2 linked regions of the Anolis sagrei genome follow. The protein of the gene in region 1 interacts with the protein of each later gene in a biochemical or structural test. Links are inferred from orthologs where the notes say so. Each region holds a gene or a part of one and is shown in the gene's direction. Other genes may lie near its edges.

Evidence for each region.
Region 2: the proteins of PRPF40A (region 1) and MECP2 form a complex in vitro, tested with the Homo sapiens proteins (2 studies listed by BioGRID, with this or other methods). The link is inferred for Anolis sagrei from reciprocal best matches to the Homo sapiens genes PRPF40A and MECP2.

The regions. Positions count from the first base shown.
Region 1 is NC_090021.1:204,089,641-204,097,573, forward strand, and holds the start of PRPF40A (pre-mRNA-processing factor 40 homolog A), read left to right. Parts: upstream 1-4,907; 5' UTR 4,908-5,186; coding exon 5,187-5,603; intron 5,604-7,933. Other genes in the region: ARL6IP6 (ADP-ribosylation factor-like protein 6-interacting protein 6), read right to left, coding at 733-865, 2,406-2,459, 4,222-4,537.
Region 2 is NC_090022.1:175,856,513-175,864,178, forward strand, and holds the start of MECP2 (methyl-CpG-binding protein 2), read left to right. Parts: upstream 1-4,575; 5' UTR 4,576-4,629; coding exon 4,630-4,667; intron 4,668-7,666. UniProt on the Homo sapiens protein: Chromosomal protein that binds to methylated DNA. It can bind specifically to a single methyl-CpG pair. It is not influenced by sequences flanking the methyl-CpGs.

The DNA.
Region 1 (7,933 bases):
TAGTGGTGCACACCCTGCTGGCCAATTTATAGAACTGCTTAAAAACAATTTCAACAAAATTTACAAATAGGTGGTAACAAAATAGTCAACATAGCCAGAAGATTACATTAGCTAGAATGGAAAGTACAGGAAAATATTGGTCTATCTTGCCTATACTGTTGGAAACCATTCACCAGGTTTTCAGGCAGGAGTTGTTTTCAAAAAAGATTGTGTGGAATGAATGTAGGGCCTTTTGCATGAAATGCAATGTATGGGCTCTGCACCTATATCCTCTCCTTATTTGTTTCTCCAAGAATTAAATCCTTGACTAAAGATAGAAGTAAATCCAATCTTTCTTTCTTTCCTGTTTCAGTTGTCTGTTCAGTTTCTAAGTTCTCCAGATTGGGTTTGGGGCTTGCACAGTGGTCTACTGTAGAAAAGCTGCCTCTTACCAGTTTTGTTGAATGCTGCTATTCTGCCAGTGAAATACCATCACTAGATACTGCCTATAGAGTTCATGCCATTCTAACTGGACATTTGAGACTTCACTCAGGTAGCCAATCAACATAAAGTATGATTTTATTTTCTAGAAAGCACAATTGTGTTATAATCAACAAGTTTATTAAGATTGTTCCTTAAACATCTTGAGTTACACACTATGTTATACTTGGTGTGCCTAATGTATGAATTTCTACAGCTGATTTGCAATTTCTACAACACGTCACATTTTAATCTTAGTAAAGCGATACTCACTTGAATCGTGCAGGAGAGAGTGGGGTAGGAGGAAACATTCCTGGTTCAAAGGAATCAAAGTATGTCACTGTCCAGGAAAAACTGCAGCACGACAGCCCAGCCATTAATGACAGAACAAGAAGAGTCCAAAATCCTTGCAAAAGAAGAGCACAGTAGTAAACATTGAAAGCTTAAAATACAACATTAAAAAGATAATACACAGGAGTTATTGCTAGAAAGTAGAAAAACAAAGGAGGTAACAGGCATACAATTGTCTAAATACAATTCTATCTACACATATTTACTCAGATGATGAATGTGGAATATTCCCATATAATACCTGGACCATTACTTCTTAAACTGAGGGTTCTGGCCTCAAATGGGGTCCCCTTAGCTCTATGTTGGGTTCACGACAAATTTGGTAACAATTTTCTTTCTGAATGCCACCTAGATATTTACAACAACTCTGTTAGCAACAACTCTGCAGAAATCGCTGTAGCTATATTGCACAAAAAAGGAAAACCAGACTGTTCAGCAAGCCTTGCAAATGCTGATTTATTAGTAAGTGTTTGATTTATATAACTTTTTATATACCTATATAGCTGGGGTCACATAAAAATTTCCTGGGAACCTTGCTCCAGATAGTAGCTTCATAGTATTTTTGACTGCTTTATTCATAGCAAACAAGGAGTTAGCTTTCAAAGTACAGGGAATATATGTTGCCTTCAATGGAACGTATATCCCCCCACCCCACACAGTGCTTGTCATTCCAATCCCATTTTTGGAAAAAAAAAATCATTATACTCATAATTACCTCCTCTAAGGTGAGCAATCTCACTATGTTTTTGATTTTCCTATCCTCTGCTGGTTTAGACTGAGATCCTTATAACACTAGATTGCTATAGCAGTATGGTTTCACATAAACTACCATACCAATGGTAGTTAAAGGATCCTGGGATTTGAAGTTTAGGGAAGAGTACCTAGGATTCTCCACCACAGAGGTCTTTCCCCACCCCCCAACTAAAAACCTTGGAAATCTACAATATGTTGCCATGATAGTTAGACGTGAGACATTGTGCTATAAAAATGTAATGTAAGGAAAGAAGGAGGACCCTTATTAAAAAAGGAGGAAGAGGCATTTTTAAATGAGGAAGAATAACTTCTGCTTCTATATAAAGCTCCTCCTCCAGACTATAACAGACCAAGGAGAGCAAGCACATTTGTGAAAGAGAAAACTTAAAAGTTGTTTTTGGTTTTAAGGAAAAATTTAAAAATATAGGTGGTGGTGACCTCAATTATGGTCTTGTGGTTACATTATACCCACCTCACTCTAAAGCACTTAATAATTCATTTTATACTAAGTGAGTGGGTAGAATAACATAAGACACTTAAGGCATAAATCAAGATAACTGTAATGTGATTTCAGCATACATGATTTGTTATAATTTTAAATTTACAAATGTAGGCATGCTTGGAAATATTTTTTTGGAATATGAATGGAATACATATTAGCACTCATTGAACATTATAAACCTCAAATGTAGGATATTTATTTTGATTATTAATTAAGGTGTTGGATAATTTTACTGTTCCTTTAAAAAAGAATCATTTTTAAAATATAGCAGTCATTGATCCAAGAATGAGTAATGCACCAGTAAGTGTTCCACAATGAATGAATTTTAAAAATGTCTTACCTAAAATACTTGTTTCTACAGTATCTTCAGCCCTTGCTTTTTCATATCTCAAATCTGCAAGGAGAAGGCATGGTTATCTACAGTAGCCACTGGGACCTACCCTCAGAAAACATTTTGAATATCTTGCTTATGTTTTTTTTAAGAAAAGAAAATCATTTTGTCTCTTTGCAATCATGAAAATTGGCCACATCCTCTCTTTCCTGAACTTCTCTATGCTGTAGCCTGGGTACATTCACCTGTCTATAAATATATGTACATAGAAACTCCTATGACATCAAGAATGCCTGAGTGAAATTTAGCTTTGAATGTGGTAAATAATATGTATATCGTGTAGAATCAGATCCCATATGATCTTGGAAGCTAAGCATGGTCAGACCTGGTTAGCACTTAGATGGGAGGCTCCCAGTGAAATACAGCCAACAGGTGCTGTTGGCTGTATTTCAGGGAAGAAACTGGTAAAACCACCTCTGAGTATTCATTGCCTAAGAAAACCCAATCAAATACATGGGAACGCCATAAACAGTCAGGTAGTCTAAAGGCATGTGCATGCACACACACACCAGGGCGTGTAACCATCCAATATATTATGAAGCAGGGGCCTAAATACCTAAAAGCACCAGATCTTCTCTGATCTTGGAAGCGAAGTTGTATCAATACTGCTTACTACAAGGATAAAGGACCATCAAGGATTGATGGATGCTGTATACTTTATTTCAGATGAAGAAACTATCAAAACCTCTGAGTATTCCTTGCCCTTCACAGGCAATGCGACGACAAACACTACGCACATACTATAAATAATAATAGCAAAGACTGAGGTATCCGTTTATCCAATATGGGGGATATTTTTCTTCTAAAATTCCAGAGGTTGGCACTATATTTGTATTAATAAGCTACAACTGAGTCTTGCTTTCCTGTGAACTCACTGTGAACCTTTAGCCAATCACGCATGACCCATCATAACTATGCTTGCGTAGGGTGACAGTAAACTTTAGAATTAATTCAGATTGACACCGCTTTAACTGCCATGGCTCAATGCTATGGAATCCTGGGAGCTTGGTGAGGCACCAGCACCTTTTGGCCCCATCTAGTAAAGGTTTCCCCTGACATTAAGTCTATTCGTGTCCAACTCTGGGCGGTGGTGGGGGGTGCTCATCTCAATTTCTAAGCCAAAGAGCCGGTGTTGTTCGTCGACGTCTTCAAGGTCATGTGGCTAGCATGACTGCATGGAGCACTGCTACCTTCCCGCAGAAGTGATACCTATTGATCTACCCACATTTTGCATGTTTTCGAACTGCTAGATTGGCAGAAGCTGAGGGTAATAGTGGGGGCTCACCCCGCTTCCTGGATTTGAACCGCTGACCTTTCAGTCAGTAAAGTTCATCAGCTCAGCAGTTTAACCTGCTGTGCCACCAGGGGGACATTTGGCCCCATCTACAATGCTGTATAATGTACGTCACTGTACTGAACTGTATTATACGAGTCTACACTGCCATAGAATGCAGTTCAATGGAAGTGCAGATGGGGCTTCTGGCAGAACAGGCCAAAGACCTTGTAAACCTATAACTCTTGGGAAGAATTGCATTGATCCATGGCAGTTAAACTGGGTGTCAAACTGCATTCCTCCTCCAGTGCAGCCATGTTGCATCAGATCCAGTTCAGGAGTGAACCACTTTGGGGCTTAAGCGATTGAGGGGGGGAAGGACGGGGCCTGGGGCTGTTTGGAATTGTGGGAGTGGGGAGCCAGAACTCCTGGAGGGCCCAATTTGGCGTTTCTCGGCGGGTTCCGAGCGCCCCCCGCCCCCCCAGCGCTCACCTCTCAGCACCAGGCAGCCGAGGGCGAGCAAGAAGGCCAGGAAGGTCACGGCCAGGAGGCAGCAGAACACAGCGCAGATCCTGCTGGGCCACCGGCGCCCGGGGAGCGACACCCCGAGCAGGCCCGCCCGAGGAGAATTCGCGGGGGAGGCCTCGTAGCTTCGCCCAAGGCCGCCCAGCACGCCTCCCGCACCCCCTCCCTCGCCCTCCTCCTCCTCCTCGAAGTCCGCCTCCAGGGTCCGCGCCACCCCGCCTCCGTCCGGCGTCCAAGCCGCGCTAGGCCCGCTCTGGCTGGAGCCCCGATAGGACGCTGCCATGGCAACCGAACACTCAGGCAGGAGGGGCGGGGGAAGCAGAGGCCCACCACTCGGCCTACACCGGAAGTCTAGGCAAGAAAAAAGGTGGGTGGGGAAATCTAGAAGCCCCGCCTTTTCCTGCGTAACGGCAACGAGTGGCCTCCCATCATGCTCCGCGCCTTGAACCCTCCCCTTTTCTTAACCCTCACAACGGCTCTCCTTTCTCTTTGCCCGCCCCCTCCTCCTTTCCCTGGGCTAAGGAAGGGCCCTCTTGGGCTTCCGTAGCCCTGCTAGCGGAAGCCGCTTTCCCAGTGTCCTTTGCGCGGCCCGTCTCTTTTTTTCCCTCCCCTCCCCCTTCCCGCCTGTGCTTCCCATTCCTCCGCCTGAGGCCTTCTTCTGGTGGGACGAGGCCCGGCCTTGCCCGCCTGCCCGCGCCGCTTTGGCCTCCTGCGGCGAGGAAGACACAAGAGGGTTTTTTTGTTTGTTTCTCGGCCCCGCCCGCGCCGTAGGCTGACTTTCGACGACAAAGCCGCCCCCCTCCCCCCACTCCGCGCGCAAATTTCCCCCCCGGGGAGTTCCTTCCGCGCCCCTCTCCTCAGGCAAGCAGGCAGGCAGGCCGGGCCTAGGCGCTCGCTCGAGAGAGAAAGGGAGGGAGGCCGCCCGGCCGGCCATGTCAGGCGGGGACTCGGCGGCGGCCTCCCCGCAGGCGCTGCCCTTCTCGCTGCCCAAGCCGCCCCCCCTCATGCAGCTCAACCCGGGCGAGGGCGTCCGGCCGGGCCCTGAGCAGTCGCCCAAGAGAGGCCGCGGCCCCGACTGGCCCTCCGGGAAGCCCGTCAGCCTCTTGGCGCCGCTCCTGCCCCCGCGCGGGGAGCCCGAGCCCCTACTGCCCTTCGGGCCCGCTTCCCGCCAGCCGCTCCGGGGAAGGATGCTCGGCAGGTGCGGAGGAGGAGGAGGCGGCCCCGGAGGAGGAGGAGGCCCCGGAGGCGGGGGGAACCCTCTCAACCCGGCCATGAGGCCCGGAGGAGGAGGAGGAGGACCCGGTGGAGGCGGAGGTGGCGGCGGCGGCATGGGCCGAGACGCCCTCATGGTGAGTTTTGGCGTGGCCCTTGACCCCCACGCAGACTTAATGCAGCCTGGCGCCGCTTCACGTGCCTGCACACAATGCCTTGGGACTTACATGCCAAAAAGTGCCGGCGCCTCACCAAACTCCAAACTCCCAGGATTCCATAGCGGTTACAGTAATGCCAGGCAGCATTCATTCTCGTGCCCGTTTGGTTGCCGACCCTCAACTACACCCCCAACACTTTCCTCCAACCCGCTTTCGCAAGCCTCCCAATTTTGTGTGGTATTTATCCCTTTATGTCCTGTGGTCAAGAGCCCCTGGTGGTGCAATGGGTTAAACCAGTGGTTCTTAACTTGTGGGTCCCTAGATGTTTTGGTCTTTAACTCTCAAAAATCCTAACAAGTGATAAACTGGCTGGGATTTCTGGATGTTGTAGGCCAAAACACCTGGGTACCCACAGGTTGAGAACCACTGGGTTAAACCCTTACGCAACTGAACTGGTCGACCAAAAGGTTGGCAGTTCGAACCTAGGGAGCAGGGTAAGCTCATGTCAGTCAAGCTCCAGCTCCCCATGCAGGGACACAAGAGAAGCCTCCCACAAGGATGGTAAAACATCAAACATCTGGGCATCTGCTGGGCAATGTTCTTGCAAACAGTCAATTCTCTCACCCAGAAATGACTTGCAGTTTCTCAAGTCACTCCTGACACACACAAAAAACCTGGGGATCTATGGACCACCAGGACTAAAATATGGTCTGCATCCTCACTGTTACTACACCATTGCAATGAGAATGACTGGTCTAGCAAAACCCTCTTATAGTGCATAATAATAATCTTTATTTATATCCTGCCACCATCTCCCCAATGGGGACGCAGGGCGGCTAACATGAGGCCAAGCCCAAAAATACAATACAGCAAAATAAAATAGAAAGCAACAAAAATTACATCACAATAAGATACATGAAGTAACAAAATAAAATAAGTATTTAGTCACACCTAAATCTTTATGTACCAGGAAAATGTTTTGAATGGGTTCGTAGGTTGGTTGCTAAGCAATTTAGAGGTAGATACAGTACTTGATAATTGGTTCAAGTTCCAGATTCAATGTGTTCACTGCTAGTGGAGTAGAAAGGTAATATTTTCTTGATTCCTGTTAATATATAAACTTGTTATTGTACCTTTATAAAGCCATTTTTGTACCCTGACGCATGAGTGCTTTGAAGTCCTTTAAACCCTTAAGTCTGGACATAGGAAAATGTCAGAACCAAAAGCAATTTATGTAGACAAATGGAGGCTCAATGTAAGAAAAAGTTATTTTGCATGTGTGGTATTCCACACAATTGGTTTTATTACTCTTTTCTTCAGTCTCAGACAGCTTTATTATCTTCATGATGACTAGTAGTCATGTGCATTTGGGACATACCTTAATCCGTTTTGTGTCCCGGCTTTAGGTGGGGGGCCCAATCCGTTTTTGTCTGAGCCTCCTGAATTCGGGAGGTCAGATATTTTTGTTTTTGTTTTCAGGGCCAAAAGATCTGTTTTCTTTCAGCCTATTGTTGAGGGAGGAGACTTCACCCGTAGGCCCAAACTGCCTGAGCCTGTGGGTGCAGGCTTTGGGCCTATGCACCTGGGCCTTGCAAGGTCTGCAGCTGAGTGCCAAGTAAGGAGCGCTCCTTACTGAGTGCTCAGCTGCAGGCCCTGCGAGGCCGAATGCATAGCCCCACAGCTTGCACCTGTAGGACTGGGCACTTCGTACCTATGGGTGCAGGCTTCCTGGCCTACATGCCTGGGCCTGGGAGGGCCTGCAGCCAAACACCAAGTAAGGAGCACTTCTTACTCAGTGCTCGGCTGCAGGCACTGCCAGGCCCCAGGCAATTGATACAAAAAGCAGGCTTGGAACTGGTACCCACTCCCACCCCTGCCTTTCGTATTGATTGCATTTTCATTCCAGGTAAAACATGATGTTTTGGTGCTTCATTTGTAAAATTATAATATGTATTGAATAGGCTTTCCTTAATCCTTCCTTATTATCCAACATTTTCACTTAACCAATGTTCTGCCGGCCCATTTATGTTGGGTCCTACAGTATATATTGTATACAGTCAGTCTTCCCATATTTTCAGGTTTTGATTTGGTGATTTGAGTATGCACTGATTAATTGAAATGTTTTCTCATGAGAATATCTGTGCCTTCCAGTGCAACTTCTGTCGGAATCACACTGGAGGACCAAGACCAGCTCTCTAGGAATCACTAGATTGCTCCAGCATGATACTAGCCGAAGTTGACCATAGAATCATGCTGAGGAACCTAGAGATTCCTGGAGAGGTGTATTCTCGGGCTTCTAAAAATAATTT
Region 2 (7,666 bases), on another chromosome or scaffold:
CAAAGTGTCCAATTAATTTCATCATGGCTTAAATGCTCATATAATTAGAATAATTGCACATATTGCACTGCACCTTTTGATTGATCAATAAAAGATCACCACAAGATTTTGGAGATTTATATAAATCTGGAAACACTGGAATCTTGTACATATTTATTTTGCTGTGACCTGATTATTTCAGTGTGGCTTTTTTCAGAAGATATATTCAGTATTGTATTTAGAATGAAATCTATTTACATTTACTTAGGAGCAATACTTATAGAGCACAACAGAACTCACTTCTGCTAAACAATCATAGAACTGTACTGTCAGTATGCTTGGATGATGGTTTTAGTATAAAGACTATATTTTTCTGGCAAATACTTACACAAATAAAAAAAATCACAGAAATATTTCCCACAAAATAATCTTAATCATTGAAATTTTAGTATAAGGAAAATACAAACATATAAAACAGTTGAAACACACAAATATATTCTAAAACCTGTCACAATACTTTTCGGCTGGAATGACTGCATACTACAAATAAAAAATATATTTAAACTTTTATATATTTTTACTGTAGTCCTGATTCTTCTCATTTCCCGCATTATGTTAAAAGCTATAGAACAAAAGGCATTTAGAAGGAAATTATCTTTTTAAAATATTTATGAAAGGGCTGAGTTTTACAAAACAGAGTAATGAGGAAAATGTGTTAAAATGCTGTAAGCAACATGTAATTTGTGAAACAGATTGGTCTACAAGTTCATTTTTAAAAGGAACACTATTGTGATTCAAATTAGTGTGTCAAACATATGTAGGGACAGTGCAGCTTTGTTGCAGGGTTGAGATTGTATTGTTTGTGTGCATGTGCGAAGTGATTGTATAGGACATCATATGGATCCACTGAATGACTCAGCCATATTTCTATATAAATAGTGGGTGGGAGAATAGGATTCCAATCTGAGTAAGACTGTGATCATTAAGAGAATAACAGAGGGACTCTGACATGTTTATCCAGTTCAAATGGACGTGAAAAGACATGACTGTAGTTCAGTTGATGAAACTAGGACAGTTTTAGGTTGGCTGAGAAAAAAAATTGTAGGGCTTCCATGTGTTTAGCAGGTATTCTGAATTTAGTAAATGATGGTTTATCTGTCATGCATGTACACTGACATTAGGTTATATATGTAGAATAATTTTTTTGTCACAGATATACTAAAAACCCACGTGTCTTATAAGAAATGAATTTTGGAAAATGTAGTTGTGAAACAAATAGTGGCCAGAGAAAACTTCTGGTGTGATGTGGAAGGATTGCAGAGATAATAGATACGATGGACACAATTCTTGTGGACTTTGGTTTTAAAAATGTGAAATTATGCACATCATCAACATTCTTATTTTTAAACCTAGAAAATTAAATTCTGCTTGACAGCTTTTGTATTGGGCCTCCAGCATCAAGGTTTCTATACATTTGTGGACTTCAACATTCAGTAGGGGGCAGATGCGTGTCTAATGCATGCACATGGCAAATGACGGGACAGTAAAGTTTCCTGTTGTTTCATTTCCACACCTTTCCCACTCTAGTGATCTGTTCGTTTTCACTTGTATCTGCGTATTTATTTGGCATGTTATCAAAGCGACATTCAAGAGAAGTAGTCATTCCCAACACTGCTCACCATTATGAGGGAGAAAGGCATATCTTGCCCAACTGACAGCAATTGGTTGCCTTGCGGCCTTCAACATCAGTTCTGTTTCTCCTAGTGGTATGAGCCACATCAAGCACGTCTTCCACTAGGTTTCCTCCATCTCACTTATTTTGCATAAATGAATGTTATGTGGTAGCTTTTTATAGCACAAACATGGCTACACTGCTTTTAGAACAGGATACTCATATGAAGTGTATGTCTGGATTTACAGCTGACATTTCATATTCCTGGATTTCACATTTGCGGATTTGATTACTATGTTGTAAGAATGTCTAGATTCTCCAGCACAATTATACAATCAACGTCCACTGGAAGTTAATCATAAAGTCATGGTGACTTAGAAATTCCTAAAGTTATGTTCTCTCAGGTTAAAAAAACACCCTTTAAAATTCAATTTTTTCCACATTCATTGCTATACACTGAATCTGTCATGTTTCTGAATCTGTAAGTTAAAGTGAATTATTCTAATTTTCTGGGGAGCAAGCACCATTTTATCCAAAGGAAATTATATTGGAATAGACACTATGTAGGATTGCACTGTTAAAAGTACCAAAAGCCAAATGTTCATAATGATATTACTTGATGGTCATGTTTATGTAACTGTCTCTGTGTTTAATACAATATGGTAAACAAATGATACATTTTTATTTATAAAATTGTGATTTGAAGAAAATTTATTTGCCCAATCACTGACAACAGCCTAAAAGAATGGATTTTAGTTTTAGTTTGCGGTTTTAATCTACGGAATAAATTGTTTTTTGCGTCACGTATTACGTGTGTTGCGGGTTTATAATTTTATCAGATATGTTCTGATCTGTTGGTTATGTTTATTTTTATGTATGTTTTATTTACATGGTGTTGGCTGCTTTAAGTTCCGATTCGGAAGAAAAGTAGAAATAAATTCCGATTCGGAAGAAAAGTAGAAATAAATAAATAAGACTGGCATGACACTCTGCAATACCTGCTGAATTGAACACTATTTGTGTCTTAATATTTGCACTAAAATGTGTAATGCAAGGCCAGAAAGTTATTTTTGTTCTTTACAATATATTCTGTCTACAGGGGCGGCTCAACCCATTACGCAAAGTAAGCATTTGCAGTATAGTTGATTTTGCCCAGGAGTGCTCTTGAGGCATTCTTGGGGGAAAATAGACCTTGACATATGCCAGTTGTAGTTACTGGGATGTACAGTTCACCTACAATCAAAGAGCATTCTGAACTTCACCAATGATGGAATTGAACCAAATATGGCACACAGAACTCCCACGACGAACAGAAAATATATATCAATGATTGGTTGGGGGGAGGCGCCAAAATACTGTTTGCTTACTGTTGAAAATTACCTAGGGCCGCCTCTGTCTGTCTACTTGATCTTTATGAAACAAATTGCATTATAAGAATAATAATGGGAGAATTCAAGGTATTATTGGCTATATGCGAGTCAGTAGCGAGCCACTTCTTGAGTATTCCTTGCTAAAGAAAATCTTATGAAATTGACAGGGTTTCTATAAGTCAAGAGGCTGTTTAAGGACACACAGAGGAATAAACTAGTTTTAACAGTTCTGTCAGGAATATGAAAATAAATCACATCACGTCCTTTCTCCAGATATTAAAGGGTGTCTATTGTATCCTTTAGTGCAGGGGTCCTCAAACTTTTTAAGCAGAGGGCCAGGTCACAGTCCTTCAAACTGTTGGAGGGCCAGATTATAATTTGAAAAAAGCATGAATTAATTGAATTAATTCCTATGCACGCTGCATGTATTTTATTTGTAGTACAAAAAGCACTTAAAAACAATACAATAATTAAAATGAAGCATGAATTAATTCCTATGCACGCTGCACATATTTTATTTGTAGTGCAAAAAACACTTAAAAACAATACAAGAATTAAAATGAAGAACAATTTTAACAAATATAAACTTATTAGTATTTCAATGGGAAGTGTGGGCCTGCTTTTGGCTGCTGAGAAAGGATTGCTGTTGTGTGCTTTCAAGACTTAGGTCAACCCTGAACGAGGGCTGGGTAAATGACCTTGTAGGGCTGTATTCGGCCCTCGGGCCTTAGTTTGAGGACCCCTGCTTTAGTGTTTAGCTTTGAAAATAGGACAGGGATTTTTGTTTGTTATTCTCACCTGAGAGGGAGTGTTTTTTTCCCCATCTAGAGCTGCAGCACATCTGCTTTCCAATAAGAGGTATGTCAGCAAAGGCACACTATTTCCTATCCCTGCAGTGAAGCACATCGCCCCAGCTGGCCTCTTATGGTGGTGAATTTGCCACTAGGAATTCTGCCACTGCTGTGGTAAAGATGTATGCGGTGCTTTACAGGTGTGGGTGAGAACGCTGGACCATCTGAGGAGGAAACAAAATGCCTGTGATGTGGGTAAAACAGTCCTTGGGGGAATCTGTGCTGTCACGGTACAAGAATTGCTGTCATTCACGGAAATATATTATTTGTCCAGTTCGGCTGTTCAAAGGCCCTGAGGTGAATTGCGACCGTCTGTTGGTCTTCTCAGGAAGCTGTGGGAACATGACCTTGATGCTACTTGATGGGCCACATGAAAGGGACAGCCCTGACATATGCTGAGAAGGTTGCTCGCATGACGACAGGGAGCGGCCTGCTCAGGGGCGGCATTTCCAAACCCTTGAGGCCTGGTGGCGAGAGAGGGCCAATGGCGAAGAGCGCGGGCTCCTCTCCGCGGCCTACTTCGTACCGTTGTAACTGACAGCGCTTCCCGCCAATTCTAACGGCCGCAAGGAAGCAGGGCCGCCTCGCCCGTGTGGAAAGGCGCCGGCCAATCGCTCTCGGGGGGCGCCCTGACTGATGGGGCGCGCCGCCCAATGGCAGCCGAGGAGGGCGGGGCCTGGCTCTCCGGGTTTCCTCTCCGGCTCGGTTTCCCCCCCTCCTCTCCCCCCCCTCCCGCGGGTTCTTCGCTGCGAAGAAAATGGCGGCGGCGGCGCCGAGCGGAGATGAGGAGAGATTGTGAGTGACTCGAGGGGAAGGGGTGGGGGAGAGCCGGGCCGGACCATCGAGCCCCTGGCGCGGGGGGTCCGGGCGGGACCATCTGTGGCGTCCGGAGAGGGGGGAGAGGTGCGAGGCAGGGCTGCGGCCGCTGGGCTGCCTCTTTTTTTTCCCGCTCGCGGGCGCCCTCCCCTCCCCTCCCCTCCCTTCGCCTAGCCCTCCCTCCCGCCTGCCTTCCCTCCTGCGCGCGCCCAGGGCCCCTGAGTGCGTCACAGCGGTCCCCTCTGCCCAGCAATGGGAGGGGCCGGCCTTTCCGCAAGGAGGGAGGGGAGGGGGAGAGGGGCCCGGGTCAGGGGTCACGCCGAACGAATTCCTGGCGCGCGCGCCTGAATGGCCCCTTCAGGCAGCCTCCTCCTCCTCCTCCTCGCAGGGGGCCCTCCTCACTGCCTGAAGCTGCTACTTGCCCGACAGGCCCTTCAGGGACCTGCTCACACCAACTTCGCCAACGCAGGCTCCAGGTTGTTGGGGCCATTGGGCAGCATGTCTTTGCGGGAAGGCTGTATTTCAGGGCTCTCCTCTTGTGAAGGGCCCGACCAGGCCTACCCTGTGTACCACCAAGGGCCCTTCCACACAGCCACATAATCCAAAACATCGAGGCTGAACATCCCACCATATCTGCTTTGAATGGGTTTATCTGAGGGCCCTTCCACACAACCTTCCACACAGCCACGTAATCCAGAATATCAAGGCAGAAAATCCCACCAAACCTTTGAATGGGGTTATCTAAAGGCCTTTCCACACAGCCACATAACCCAGAATATCAAGGCAGAACATCCCACCATATCTGCTTTGAGTGGGGTTATCTGAGGGCCCTTCCACACAGCCACATAACCCAGAATATCAAGGCAGAACATCCCACCATTTCTGCTTTGAATGGGGTTATCTGAGGGCCCTTCCAAATAGCTACATAACCCAGAATATCAAGCAGAAAATCCCACCATTTCTGCTTTGATTGGGGTTATCTGAGGGCCCTTCCACACAGCTACATAACCAGAATATTAAGGCAGAAAATCCCACCAAACCTTCTTTGAATGGGGTTATCTAAAGGCCCTTCCACACAACCATATGGCCCAGGGCGCTTCCACACACCCCTATATCCCAGAATGTAAAGGCAGAAAATCCCACCAAACCTTCTTTGAATGGGGCTATCTAAAGGCCTTTCAACAGAACCATATAACCCAGAATATCAAGGCAGAAAATCCCACCATATTTGCATTGAATTGGGTTATCTCAAGGCCCTTCCACACAGCCATATAACCCAGAATATCAAAGCAGAAAATCCCATCATATCTGAATTGAATGGGGTTATCTGAGGGCCCTTCCACACAGCCATATGACCCAGGGCCCTTCCACACACCCCTATATCCCAGAATATCAAGGCAGAAAATCCCACCATATCCGCATTGAATGGGGTTATCTGAGGTCCCTTCCACACAGCCATATAACCCCGAAAATATCAAGCCAGAAAATCCCACCATGTCTGCATTGAATGGGGTTATCTGAGGTCCCTTCCACACAGCCATATAACCCCGAAAATATCAAGCCAGAAAATCCCACCATATCTGCATTGAATGGGGTTATCTGAGTCCACACTCAGATAATGTGGGATTTTCTGTCTTTATATTCTGGGATATAGGGCTGTGTGGAAGGGCCCTCTGTCATCTTTAAAAGCCTTATTGAAGAAAAGGGTTTCTAAGTCCACACTGCCATATAATTCAGTTCAATGTGGATTTTATACAGCTGTGTTGGAGGGACCTTAGAATTGCGGGAACTTTTAATATACTGTTTTTTCTCGATTCAAAAGCTCACTTTCCCCTCAAATAAACATATCTACAAATGGGGTATCTCTTAGTATTGATATGTATAGATATATAGATACAGTTTTTCTGTTGCTGTGCTAGAATTAATGTGCACGTTATAATCAATGGTGGTTTATAATGGATAAATACGGTATCTAAATGAAAAAAATTCTGTTGGTGATCCTGAATTTCTTACAACTGATTGCATCTTACAGTCAAGGAAATACATTATATTTATATACAGAGCTGCTCTGTAACATTGTCTGAAGAGTGTATGATATTTGTGAACTGCTGCTGACTTGTGGTCACCAGTGAATTTGTGATGAGGGGACAACTCTTGTGAAGAATAGCCACCTGGGCATGGGTGATGTATGGGGTCAGCATCCTCTGGAGGTGGAGATCAAGTGATCAGAGAAAACGGTTGCTCAGTTGCTTTCAGTAGCCTCAGTGGTCCAGTCCTTATCTCTTTCCACTGAGATATAGGCCTTCATAGGTTGGTGACTAATTGGAGTGAAGAGTACTGGTTCCTTGTGACCATCGTTTATTCAAAAATATAAGTCCATTGTGTGTCAGTCCTCTGAGGCAGGGTACTATGTAAGTGTCTAGGTCCATAAACAAATCACAAGTACATTTCCTTTCCCAATCTTGGTGGGGAGAATTGGGGTGTGATGATTGGAAATAATGGCCTTTACTGCTCTTGGTTAATCATTTATTCTCATTTTGGGGACTCTACTTGCTCAATGGCTTTATCTCTTTGTGCAGCTTAGGGTGGACCAAGTGTGGTGTCTGAGACCAATGTGAATTGATAAGTGGAGTCTGTAATGGTTTGAATCAGAACCACTATAACTTCTGCTTGCTTGTACTTTCCTCTCCCTCTGGTAGTCATGCTAAGAAGGATTGGATTTGCTGAGTCAAATGCCCTCGTTTTTATCTTGCAGAAAGGGAAAGAATATAGGGAATAGTTCATTAGTTCATTGGATACGGGCAATAGTTCATTTTACTTGTAGTGCTACAGAGCCAGCCCTCACTGCCAGAGTGCCTAAACTAAGAGGGCAAACAAGTGAAAGGGCATAGATGATCTGTTCATAACATAGTATTGATGGTCGTACTACCCCATGTTCTACTTGTTATTTAGCCCAAAAAGAAGGATAGAGGCACGAG